3 linked regions of the Coturnix japonica genome follow. The protein of the gene in region 3 purifies or fractionates together with the protein of the main gene of each other region. This does not show direct contact. Links are inferred from orthologs where the notes say so. Each region holds a gene or a part of one and is shown on either strand. Other genes may lie near its edges. The genes, in order: AKAP12, EPB41L3 and HSPA12A.

Region 1 (4,233 bases), on a different chromosome or scaffold from region 3:
GGGTTGGAAACTCTGAAGCTGCTTTATGGGCAAATAAGCAGCAATCTGTGAAAAGTTAGGGTGAGCACCTGGGATCCTAACTCCTTCAGCCCAAATTTAATCTGCAGTGCTTACAAACCAGCACCCAAAGGCTCTCAAAATCTCTTTCCTGCCATGGTAGCCCAAATGCTTCACACGGCATCTGACATCTCCTGGGCTGCAGAAGTGAAACACAGGCCCATGTGCTCCCCCTTGCAGTAACCAGGACACCTCGAGACCTGGTATTCAGCCAAAGAGTCACATGGGGATAACAAGGCAACGTAAAGACTGTAAATTTGGGCCTTTCTCAGAGAAAAAGCAAACAGGTTTTCAGCTAGTGCAAAATAGGACTATTATGAAAGAAACTTGATTAAATATTCCGCGGTGTTTCAAGTGATGAGGAAGCAAAACTGCCATGAAATTTTACACTGCCTATTGTAACAGTTGCCCAGACAATGTATCTGTAATTCACTTGCCAAGGCTCGCTCAAATTGGATTATGTAAAAGCCAGTTTTCCAAATATTCCATTCAAAAGAGCTGGGATGAGTGCTTTAATGTCAAAAGCACCAGAATGGAGACCATCCTTTAAAATGACACCACTGCTTCTTTTTTTCCCCTTTGCAAACACATTAGCTCTTTGATAGATTTCTCCAGGGGCACGGCATGATCTGGTGATTTTCACGTCCAGAGGGCTGTAAGGAACAGCTATGAAAAACTGTGCCATGAATCTGCATGAAACAGTCTCGCTGTGGTAAGAACAGAATAAGGGAGATATGAAACAACAACAGTAACAAAAAAGTAGGACTTCATTAAAACTTTGATTCAATGTAAGAGAAGACAAAAACAGCTGTTCTAAGAGAAGCGTAGTCACAGAACTTCTTACAGCAGCGATACGCAAAGAGAACTTCCTCACCTTTAATCAGCTTGAATGATAAAACTGAAGTGTTGGAAAAGGCTCTTCCTAAAGAGCAGATGATATAAACTACAGTATTTAGAACCAATCATAGCCTGCCTCGGAGAACAGCATTGATGGCATCCCCCTTTTCTTGCCTTGGTCCCCGTGACTGGGTAAATGCAACTATGAACATTACGGCCCTCCTCAAAGTCAGGTTATCTTTGTTTTAAAACAATCACTGCACCCAAAGGCTCACCCTCCAAATGCACCGCTGTCTACATTTCAGCATTTGAATTCTAAAGCGGCTCAACACAACTGCTAAATATTTTGTTAACCAACACCGATCCCTACTGCTTATTTGGTTAAAAAGAGAATAAAATAAATCTTGGTTAATTTAAAGTTCATTCTCAATGCGGTTTTCAAATCTGTCAAAACACGCACAAGGAGGTCTAGTGGAAGCCAGGAACTATGGGAAATTCAACTTGAAAGTTAAATCTGAACCACAAGGTCAAAGAAACAAAGTCATAACCCGTTCTCAAGCTCCAACACACCCACACGCCCGCTCACAGAAACTTGGAGTGCTCCGAGGACCCAAGCTCAGATCAGGCTGCGCAGCGGACTCCGGGCATAACGTCGCATTATGTCTCCCCTAACAACTAACGTCTAACCCCAACACGATGCTATGTAAACACGTAGATGCACATAACCTCCCTTTCAGTCCCAGAATCCCCTCAACACGCCTATTCCAGAGGGATAAATGGGTTCATTCATAATCTATTTTTAAACACCAGACGTTTTAAAAGAATTTCTTTCAATTCTTCAACGTCTTTATTTAAAATAACACAGGCTCGGACCCCGATCCCTCCTCCCCGTTGGTTGCGGGCCGCCGCCGCCCCGCTCGCCCCGACGCTGTGCCACCGCGGGGAGCGCCGCAGCCACCGCCCGCACCGCGACCCCGCGCCCCCCTCCACGCCCAGCTCCGCTCGGGTGGGGGGGGATGCGGCGGGCCCGATGCGGGACTGGGAGCGAGAGGAGGGACGCTTAAGCTGGAGCCCAGCAGGGGAAACTTGGTGGTGCGGGGAGGGTCCCTGCTGCAGCCCCCCCGACGCGCCTCACAGACGCATCCTCGAGAGATATGGGAAGAAAAAAAAAAAAAAAGAAAGAAAGAAAAAAAGAAAGAAAGAAAAAAAGAGATGGAATAGTAAGAAAAAAGGCTGGGGGAGCCCTGGGTACCACAGCAGCGGCCGTAGGACCGCAGTCAGGAGGGCTCCCAGCACAGCACTGCCCCGGCTGGGTGCGGCCCTCTCCCCCCGCAGCCGCACACAAAAGCGCCGCCGCCACCGCCCCCCACCCGGCCCCGCCGCTCTCGCCCCCCGCCGCCGCCGCCGCGAGTTTTATGACTGCGGCGCTGTCCGTGGCGCAGTCCCGGCCCCACCGCAGCCCGCCCGGCCCGCAGGATCCCGCCGACCCCGGCAGGTGCCCGCCGGCGCGCAGGAAACTTTCCCCGCGCTGCGGAGCCGCCGCCCGCCTCCCCCGGCACCGCACCGCCCCGGCCTTACCTTGGCGGGCTCCGAGGGGGCGGCGGCGGCCCCGTCCTCCTGCGGCGGGGCGGACGGCTCGGCGGAGCTGCCGGCGCCCATGGCGCTGCCCCGCAGAGCTGAGCGGAGAGGAACGGCAGGGGCTCGGGGGAAAAGGGGTGGGGGGTGGCGGCGCGGCTGGGAATGAGGGAGCGCGGCTCTCCGCGAACTCCTTTAGGGAGCGAGAGGAGGGAGGGAAAGGGAAAAAGGGAAAGAAAAAAAAAAAAAAAAGCGAGAGGGAGGAAAATCACCTCCGCCCCTGGTCCCCCCGCCCGTCTCCCGCTTGCTCCATCACATGAGCAGAGCCCCAGACACGCCTTGCAGCATCGAGCCGGGCTGATAAGGAGCGGCGGAGGAGGAGGAGGAGGGGGAGGGGGGCAGCGCCCTGCCCGCCGCCCGGGGCCTCTCTCTTCTCTCCTGGGCACCGCCGGGGCGGGAGCGCTGCCCGGACCCCAGACCCAGCCCGTGGCCGCCTCGCGGCGCTGACTCAGCTCTTTTACCTCCCCCTCCGCCCACCGAGACCGAGTCGGCGCCCGCCAATGCCCTCGGGGTGCTCGGGGCTGGGGCTGCCCCGCGGTGGGCTCGGGGCCCCTTCGCCACCAGCGCCCGCGGGTTGACGACCTCAGCCGTACGGGCTGCCAGGGGCATGTCCGGGCTGCGGCTGATGCGGAGCAAGCAGGGACCTATGCCTTAGCGGGGTACCACGCTGTTGGCTTTCTATTTTTTTTTCTTTTTTTTTTTTTTCTTTTTCCATGCGGCACAGGTTCTCATTGATTAATTCCTGCTAGACTGCATGGCGAGCAAAGCAGGCAGCGTGATAGCTTCCCTCCCGACCCAAAGACACACACACACACGCTGAGCCCCACTTCCCTGTGCCACAGTGATGGGACCAGCATGCACAGAGCAGCACGCCCATCCAAAAGGACCCCCAGGGAAATGACACGTACACTGCGATAAACCAACCACGGTGTTGCGGAGGGAGCCCCTCCCTGTGAATCCCCCCATCCTCCACTGAGTTCATAGTTCAGATCCGAGATTGGGGACATTTTCCTTTAGAAAATGTGAAGCAATCCTCATCCATTGAATCACTGGGTCATTCAGGTGTATATATATCTATATTATATCTTTATATTCTCTTAACAATCCTCTCTGCTAATTGCCTGCTCTCTGCACGTGGTCAGCTTTTTACGTAAAGCAATCAGGCCACACCAAGTCATTGCATGACACAGCCACTGCAGCAGTACAAGAACCTTGTGGAGCCTCAGCAAGAACCAAACTGCTGCTGGGGATGGCACAGGAAGAACCAAATCACTCCCTTCAGCCTAGTCTTGCTCACCCTCATATATATGCATAGTACCAAGAAAGTGTTGTCCTAAGGCTACCTGTCTCTCTAACAGTTTTTGTAATCTTTCATTTGTTTATTTTTTCCTCATCTTCAGAAAATTAATACTAGTGCATTTCTTTTAAAGGAGAGCAGGAAAAGGGAGTGAAAATTGATTGTGTGGTTGCTTGGTTCTGGGAAGTTGAAGTGAATCTCAAAGCCATGGCCGGCCCCTGGGAGCAGCTGCACGCCAAGGGTAGAATCCATCTGAGTAATTCCCAACATTTCTGGCTTCTGAGCCCAGAGACACCAAGCCCTTCTCACTTCTGGTGCTCATGTAGTGCATTGGTGCTTGGAAGTGCTGTAGATGCAGATGTATTCCAGACTGGGCCTACAAGATCTTTGTAGTAAACTATCACTAA
Region 2 (3,648 bases), on a different chromosome or scaffold from region 3:
CATACTCTCCGTGCTAGTATTGAGTTCCCAAACAACAGTTCATACTAAGGAATACACCAAAACATGGATGAAGAGAGATGGGATTTTCAAGGCCATGCTAATTAGACATTGGCTTCTGTAGGATTTCTTACCTGTGAAGACTCATATGTAATGGTTTTTGTTTCTGTATGGACTACTGGCACTTCCTTTGTTGAAATTTCAAGGTTTTCCCCCCCAGTAGAAACACTACTGAAACTGATTGTTTCAGTCTTCACAACTGGTGACTGTGTGAACAAAAACAAACAAACAAAAAAAAAGGGATTGGAAAATTTAGTAAAGTTTCTGGATTTTTAATAAAAAAGTGCTCTGCATTTTAAGAAACAAAAGAGAAAAAAAAATCTCTTTGTTGTAATGGTATGTATATAGCACTAGCAGTTCGACACTACTCTGGATTACATGAGAACGAGCTTCAGGAAACATGTAAACATTACACATGTTCTCAGAATGACAAGAGAACAAATCCTATTCAGGCTTGCTTTTCCATTCAGCTTTCAGAAAAAAAAAAAAAAAGAAAAAAAGAGCAAAACAAGGTATCTCTACCCTTCTGCAAAATGTTTCTTGAAATCTTTCTAATGGGGCTAAAACAAGAAGCACAGATTGCTTCAGACAGACTACAATAATGTATGACTGTATCAAGAATGGAAAAAAAAAAAAAAATTTCTTTCTTTGAGGACATGCAAACTTTGCCAATCCTGATGGATTTTCCCAAAGAGAATGCCAGCTGAGTCCTTGTTGCCCACTGCATAAAAAGCCAGCAAATGAGGCATTTCTCTGCAGCATGAAAAGCGCTTTTAGGTAAAATATGCATGGCATTTAGCCAAGGATGGAAACCAGCAACAAGCTTTGCAGGTGCCATGCAAGGAGGAAATAAGAGGAGAAACAAACTGCCTGCTGTAAAAATGCAATCATAGAAGTCTTGTACTCTTTACTTTCCATGAGAGGAATTGACTTAGTCCACTACCACATACATTTACAACTCAGCACAAGAACTGATTTAACGAGTTACCTCAAAATGAGGTTTTCTTTCCAAAGAGTCTGAAACGTGGACTGTTGTACTGTGCTCCTCCGCTTGCTCATGAGAAGTAGCAGCAGCAATGCCTTCCTGTTTGGTTACAGCTTTGTGAGCCTCCCTTTTTTCCTCTTTAGCCCCCTTAGTCACAGCAGTGCCCTCCTTCCCTTTTGCGCTAGCAGATGCTGCCTGAGCCTGGGCATCTGCAAGTCCAGCCACTGTAGCGGGATCCCCACTCGCATGCACATTCATCCCACGTCTCTCCTCGATAACCACAGTCTCCTGTACAACCTTCGTCACTGCGTCCTGGTGTGGCTGAGCTGCTTGCTTCAGTTCACTGGAAGTTATCTCCTGAGATGTTGTCGTGTCTATTCTCTGTTGGGAAAGAAGAAAAAAAAAATCCTCATGTTGAAAGCAGACAATGCTACACAGAGCAGCTCCTCAGCTTAACGTACTGTGAACATAAATAAAAACGGGGTATTACATTTTGCCAATTTATTTCTCTCGCGCTAATGGATTTTCACTCTAAGGACATAATCAGAAAAGTAGAAATGAAAAATAAAACAAGATTATGATTTTAGAAGTGAAGAAAAATGCCAGTGTTTTTATCCTTGGTAGTTTTGTGCGAGTCTTATAAAGGCAAAATACAGCACCCTGTAAAATGACCAAAATAAACTGAAATGAGATTAAAAACAAAAACAAAAACAAAAACCCACAACACTTGTTGTTGTCGTTGTTTTCCCTTTTGGTGAAGTTTCTGTTGTGGTCTGTTGTAACAAAGAACAAGGCACAGCAATGCAATGCGTTAGGCATACAGGCTCTGAATTATGCATAAAAACAGGAAACAAAAGCAAATCAAAAGTCATTATTGTGCAGTTATAACACCGAGGGATGGAATGAAACAGCCACCTGCGCCCAGCTATGGGAAGTAGTAGTAACCCCTCCTATGAACTCAGTCGGCTTCCTGGCGGACTCTATTAAACTGAAGATATCTGAGCCATCCAGGGTTTTTTCACCGGTGGACTGTTTAGTCTAAACAGACAAAGAAATGGAGAGTCATACACAGATGAAAGGCCAACCCACATGCACAGAGAAATTAACTGACAAAACAGGAGGCAGAGACAGAGGAAAGGAAGAGAAGGTTGCAGGGCACAGAGAGGCTGGGAATGGGATAAGGATGGGAAAATAAATTAGAGCAAATTCATACTGGCTGTATTAAGCAATAGTTACAAAGCATAGTTGTTAGCACCGGCGTTTTGCTCGTTCAGGCAAACCTTTTTACCCTTTGGTTAACAAGCAACAGCGGCAACACCACACGTCAGTAACATGGATCTTTAAATGAACCAGAAAAGTTGAAAGCCTTATATAATGCCTGCTTTACACTGTAGTATGGCTTCAAATTATGAGAAAAAAATAAGCTGGGTTGGCTGCTGTCAACATAAAGCCAGGCAGCAGGAGAACTGAAAGGCAGGGTAGTGTGAGGGCATTGCCTAAAAGAAGTCATGCTTTAATCTTTAAACTGTGGCATGAAGTCAAAGCCTCTTGTTACCACTACTTTTGATGCAGACGACTCAGTAACAACATAGTGAGCAGTAGCAATGGTAAATGGTTGTTCTCTGGAGTATCTCCACTCAGACACACTTTTATCTTTCCAGGTAAATGCCCCTGCTTTTGCAGCTTCACCATCAAGGTGTTTTTCTGCTTTGCCAAGCTGCAAGCTTCCCAGTAACTGCAAATCTTGGTCCATCCTTAGTGTCTTTTTCAAGCTCTCCTCTTCGGGACTTTGCAACTGAGATTCCGCTTCCTTTATAGGTGTCAGGGAGTCAGACAGCTTTCTTTTTGTGCTCTGCACATCGGCCTTCTCCTCAGCGACAGGCTCTACGATCCCATACTTGGCCAATACTGGAATGATTTTCAAAGATTCTTGTGCTTCCTTCTCCTTTTTTTGCAAAGCTTCTACAGAAGGCTGTACTGTTTTCTCTCCCTCTTTTGTTTTACTTGTCATGGTAACAATTTTCCCAGACACAGCATCATAGGACTTTCCTAAGGTGAATGTTTTCTGCTTATTCTCATCTTTGGATTGTATTTCACTTTCCAAGTCCTCAAAGCTCAGAACTGTGCTGGATTTTAGTACCTCGGGCGGAATGCCAGCTTTACTGCTCACAGTCACCACTTTGTATGTCACATTTTTTTTCGATTCACCATCAGCTACCTCAGAAGGTACTTTGTCTATAATAACCCAATCCTCAGTGCCCTATATTTGAGATATAAAAGCTAAATTAGAATATCTGAAGGTTTATCTGTGTTTCAGGAGTACTAAAGTATGAAGTCTTTTAAGAAATCAATCCTGTCTCTCTGGAAAGTATATAATAATTTTACCACTGAACTTCTTAGAGTAGTTATCAAACAAATAAACAGCATCACCTCAGGCAGAGTTAGATTTCTTCTAGGTTTCTTCCCATTAGAGGCCCATATAATGTGGACAAATAAATAAATAAATAAATAAATAAATAAATTGCATTTGCCACACTTTTCTGCAGTAATTTGAAGCAGAGTAAAATTATCATCAGAATCATCCTGAGGTTAAAAATCATATATCA
Region 3 (3,648 bases):
TTTAATGCTTTTCTCTACTCAATGCTCCAGTTGTTCTCATGAACACGTTCTTATTTTTGTGACACTTGTGTGTTTTGATGGCTAACATCAAGGGCTGGAACTTCTGCTCTGTCAGTACGCCCTGGTTTGAAGCACTTGTTGGATCCTGCAATAGGAATCTGAAGACTGAATGAGAAAGTAGAACTTTCAGTTTTCTGCATTTCTTTCTTCGGCCTCATTCCTTTAAATATCAACTGTGTCAAGCAAACATACAATTACTTCCCTACATGCTTTTTTTTTTCCCCTGCAGTTGATCACACACCCTGAGCTAAAAGCCTTGTCAGTCCTTGCTGTTTATCAAGCTTGCCAATAGAAGAACACAATCACAGACAAAACCACAGACACAGACACTAATCAACAACATTCCATTGTGCCACAAATGAGAAATGCCAAGAGATCTACCTCACTCTGCCCTGCTCCTTACACAGCTCCCGTTACACGAGCACACATGCACACAGACAGCAGGCAGACAACAATATACAGAGATAATGAATGGGTCTCTAGTGTTTCGGATTTACCTACAACCGTGTCCTTCCATCAGAACTTTAAGAATGTTTTGCTTCTGGCACTAGCATTAGCAATCCCACAATAAAGACTGTTAAGAAAAATTGTTGCTCAACATTAGAGGTAGTTAGAAACAGAGTTAAAGAAAACCTGGGTGCTTTCCAGGAGCACTCTGCAAATTACACACCAACTACTATGTATTTCACAAACCGCGCATGATGTATCTGCTGCCAATGGGTTATGCAAGTCTGCGGCATAAAATAAATAACATAAAATGCAACGTGAGTATCTTGATGAAAAGAAGAATGCACACATCTAGTCTATCAAAGACACAAACTGAATTTGAAATAAAGCATATGCAATATGGAATGTGCAAGACTGCGGGGGCTTTGAAGGGAGGGGAAAGAGTTAAATGCTGACAAACTCCTACTGGTGATAGTAACGTTTTAATTTAATTTTATGTCCAGACTATCTGGACTCAGTCTCTTCATTCCTACGGTGGGAAAATGGTAACAGGAAAAAAAAGTCCCTACTGAGGAAGGTCTATGCTTTCCCTACTCCTTCTTTTTTTGTCTTATTTGAAAAAAGCCTGTGATGACCTAAGAAATTAACAAAACAAAATCGCATCCGCTGTTTTAAATCAGCTTTCTCTTCAGTCTCAAAACTGCATCCCTTCCATGTACAATAAATTCAGCAGGAGTATCATGTAAAAGGTGACTAAAATATTAGCCTGCAGTGAGGGACACCAGTACACAAAAGCAAATACATTAAAAGGCATTTAAAATGTGAATACACATGATGTGAAGCCACTGATTTGTCGAGTTAAATTCTATGTTTCTAGCCCAACTCTTTATTATTTAATGTCGTTTACACTAGTGCTATTTGTCCCAAATATAGTTTAACATATAGCCTACCAAGTGAGGCTTTAAAGGGCATTTTTAAGTTCACCCTGTAACCTTACCTTGTAGGCAGCTTGTCTCATAAACTGCTTTGCAGGCTGCTTCCAAATAGCAGGCACTGTAATAACCCATCTTACTTCAGTATTTTCAAAGTCCGAACCTGCTTGGTCACTGAGCTCCTAAATAAAGAGAAATAGAGGTGAATGTAAACTGATGGGCATCAACTTGGTAAGAAAATATTTTCTGAAGTTTCCAGTAACAGAAACTCTCTTTTCAATCTTTTTCCTGCTACACCTACGTTACAAATCCAAATATTTAAATTATTACCAACCTTTCAAGAATGCTTCACTGTGCCAACAGCTAGGATTAGAGCTGACACCTTCTGAAGGAAGCCCATAGAAAAGTTTACTACTTAACATGAAATAGAAAAGTTACTTTTTCCTAAAGGAGCACGTGCACTGCTGAACATTAGAGAATGTTTACATATGCTCTTAGTCATAGTGAGGGGATTCACAGCTAGTCTGAAGAATTCATGCTTACATCTAGATTAATTCACAGAAAAATATTAGAAGTATTGATGAACATTAAGTTTTACAATCCAGATTTTTCAATGACTCCTTTATACAGCACTCACATGTAAATTAAACTTTTACAACTCGGTTAACAAGGCAAAGTTACAGCTAAAGTCTTAAAAAAAATAAAGACATCAACTGAATGTTCCCTGAAAATTTTGCTTTACACGAGCACTGAGGAGTGGTCTAGTTATTTTCTTGTTCTTCCCTTCCCCATTAAAAAGAGAAAAGTCTGTATTGCATTTATAGATTAGGTGATATACTGACATATTTTGGGAAAGGTTCCAAGTAAAATGTCATTACCATATGTCCTATCTAAACCTCCATCCAAACAGGGAAAGCTTCATAAAAGTGAACAACAGGCCTTTAGAATGTAAAATATGTTTCTGAGCGTGCTGTGCCAAGGTGTTGTGTTTGCTCAGCCATACTGCAGTTTAAAAATCTGTGGTAGAAAAGAAGTACCTTTATACTGCCCAGGGCAGTAGGAATGGACAGATTACAGTCCTAAGCAACAGCATGAACTCACAAATCACAGGGATGTTTTATTAACATCAAGTAAAGATGCAGCCCAGAACAGGCAGCACAGCAACTTATGGGGGATTCATATTCACTAAACAGTTCCCCAGGCAGTAAATGCATGGGTACAAGTCTGTGACTGAATGTTAAATGCAAAAATCTATCAGTCTTAGAAAAGTTAATTTTTTTGAGTAGTAATGATAAGGTGGTTCCTCTAAGGCCATGAAGGCAGAATAAATTAATCCTATTCAGAAAAGTGGGTCAGCTTTACATCAACAGGGCTGTTTTCATGTAAGCACTGTTTAGGATTCTGATTTGGCCCAGAAACTACTATGTGTTGGCAGTACATAGTAGCACATCTGAAACTAATGTAACAAAATTCACATTTGGTTGTTTACATGAGACCTTAAATCTAAAAACTATTTACTGGAGACATGTATTTCACAAGAGAATACCCAATACAATCTCGTGACCCAACGATAATATTACAAGAATTGAGTATTGAAACATTTCATACAGGAAATGGAAAATACGATGTATTTTCCCATTTCCCTACCAAGATCCAAAATAGTAGCTTAATATAGGCTAATATACTGAACCTCTTAGCCACACCAAGATCATTGCAACAGTGAAATTATACTGTTTTCACCATTTTAACTAGCAAGTCATCATTGTAGAGAGTGACAATGAGATTCAACTCACCAAACGGTAAATCAGCTTTTAATAATCTTCCTGTCGCAAAACAAATCCAGCTCATCCGACTTCCCTACAATCAGTCACTGAAAACAATATCAGACTGGGACTCCAATCATTGGGAAGTGCCCAACCAGTTGTGTTTCACACTGCTCACTCATCAACACGAAAAAGAACTTGGAGAATACAGAACACGGAATTGTCCCAGCACCAGAAGTGTGGGGGGGCAAGACCAGAATCCAGCCTCAAATTTAATTCTTGGCAAGTTAAAAATGCAGACTGAGCGAAACACTGAGCTCCAGCTCCTGCACTATTATGTTTTCTTTTCAAATCAACATTTTTAATGATAAAAACAAAACAACAACCAAAAAAAAGCAACGCAACAATTGAAAGGTTTTATCCCAGTAAGAAGATACTCAGAACTT

The links.
Region 1: the proteins of HSPA12A (region 3) and AKAP12 purify together in Homo sapiens (affinity purification with mass spectrometry; 3 studies listed by BioGRID and IntAct, with this or other methods). This does not show direct contact. The link is inferred for Coturnix japonica from reciprocal best matches to the Homo sapiens genes HSPA12A and AKAP12.
Region 2: the proteins of HSPA12A (region 3) and EPB41L3 purify together in Homo sapiens (affinity purification with mass spectrometry; 4 studies listed by BioGRID and IntAct, with this or other methods). This does not show direct contact. The link is inferred for Coturnix japonica from reciprocal best matches to the Homo sapiens genes HSPA12A and EPB41L3.

Annotation. Positions count from the first base shown.
Region 1 is NC_029518.1:43,956,694-43,960,926, reverse strand, and holds the start of AKAP12 (A-kinase anchor protein 12), read right to left. Parts: upstream 2,804-4,233; 5' UTR 2,554-2,803; coding exon 2,473-2,553; intron 1-2,472. UniProt on the Homo sapiens protein: Anchoring protein that mediates the subcellular compartmentation of protein kinase A (PKA) and protein kinase C (PKC).
Region 2 is NC_029517.1:90,377,091-90,380,738, reverse strand, and holds part of EPB41L3 (band 4.1-like protein 3), read right to left. Parts: intron 3,303-3,648; coding exon 2,598-3,302; intron 2,081-2,597; coding exon 1,958-2,080; intron 1,424-1,957; coding exon 1,046-1,423; intron 264-1,045; coding exon 132-263; intron 1-131. UniProt on the Homo sapiens protein: Tumor suppressor that inhibits cell proliferation and promotes apoptosis. Modulates the activity of protein arginine N-methyltransferases, including PRMT3 and PRMT5.
Region 3 is NC_029521.1:25,729,988-25,733,635, forward strand, and holds part of HSPA12A (heat shock 70 kDa protein 12A), read right to left. Parts: intron 1,622-3,648; coding exon 1,505-1,621; intron 1-1,504. UniProt on the Homo sapiens protein: Adapter protein for SORL1, but not SORT1. Delays SORL1 internalization and affects SORL1 subcellular localization.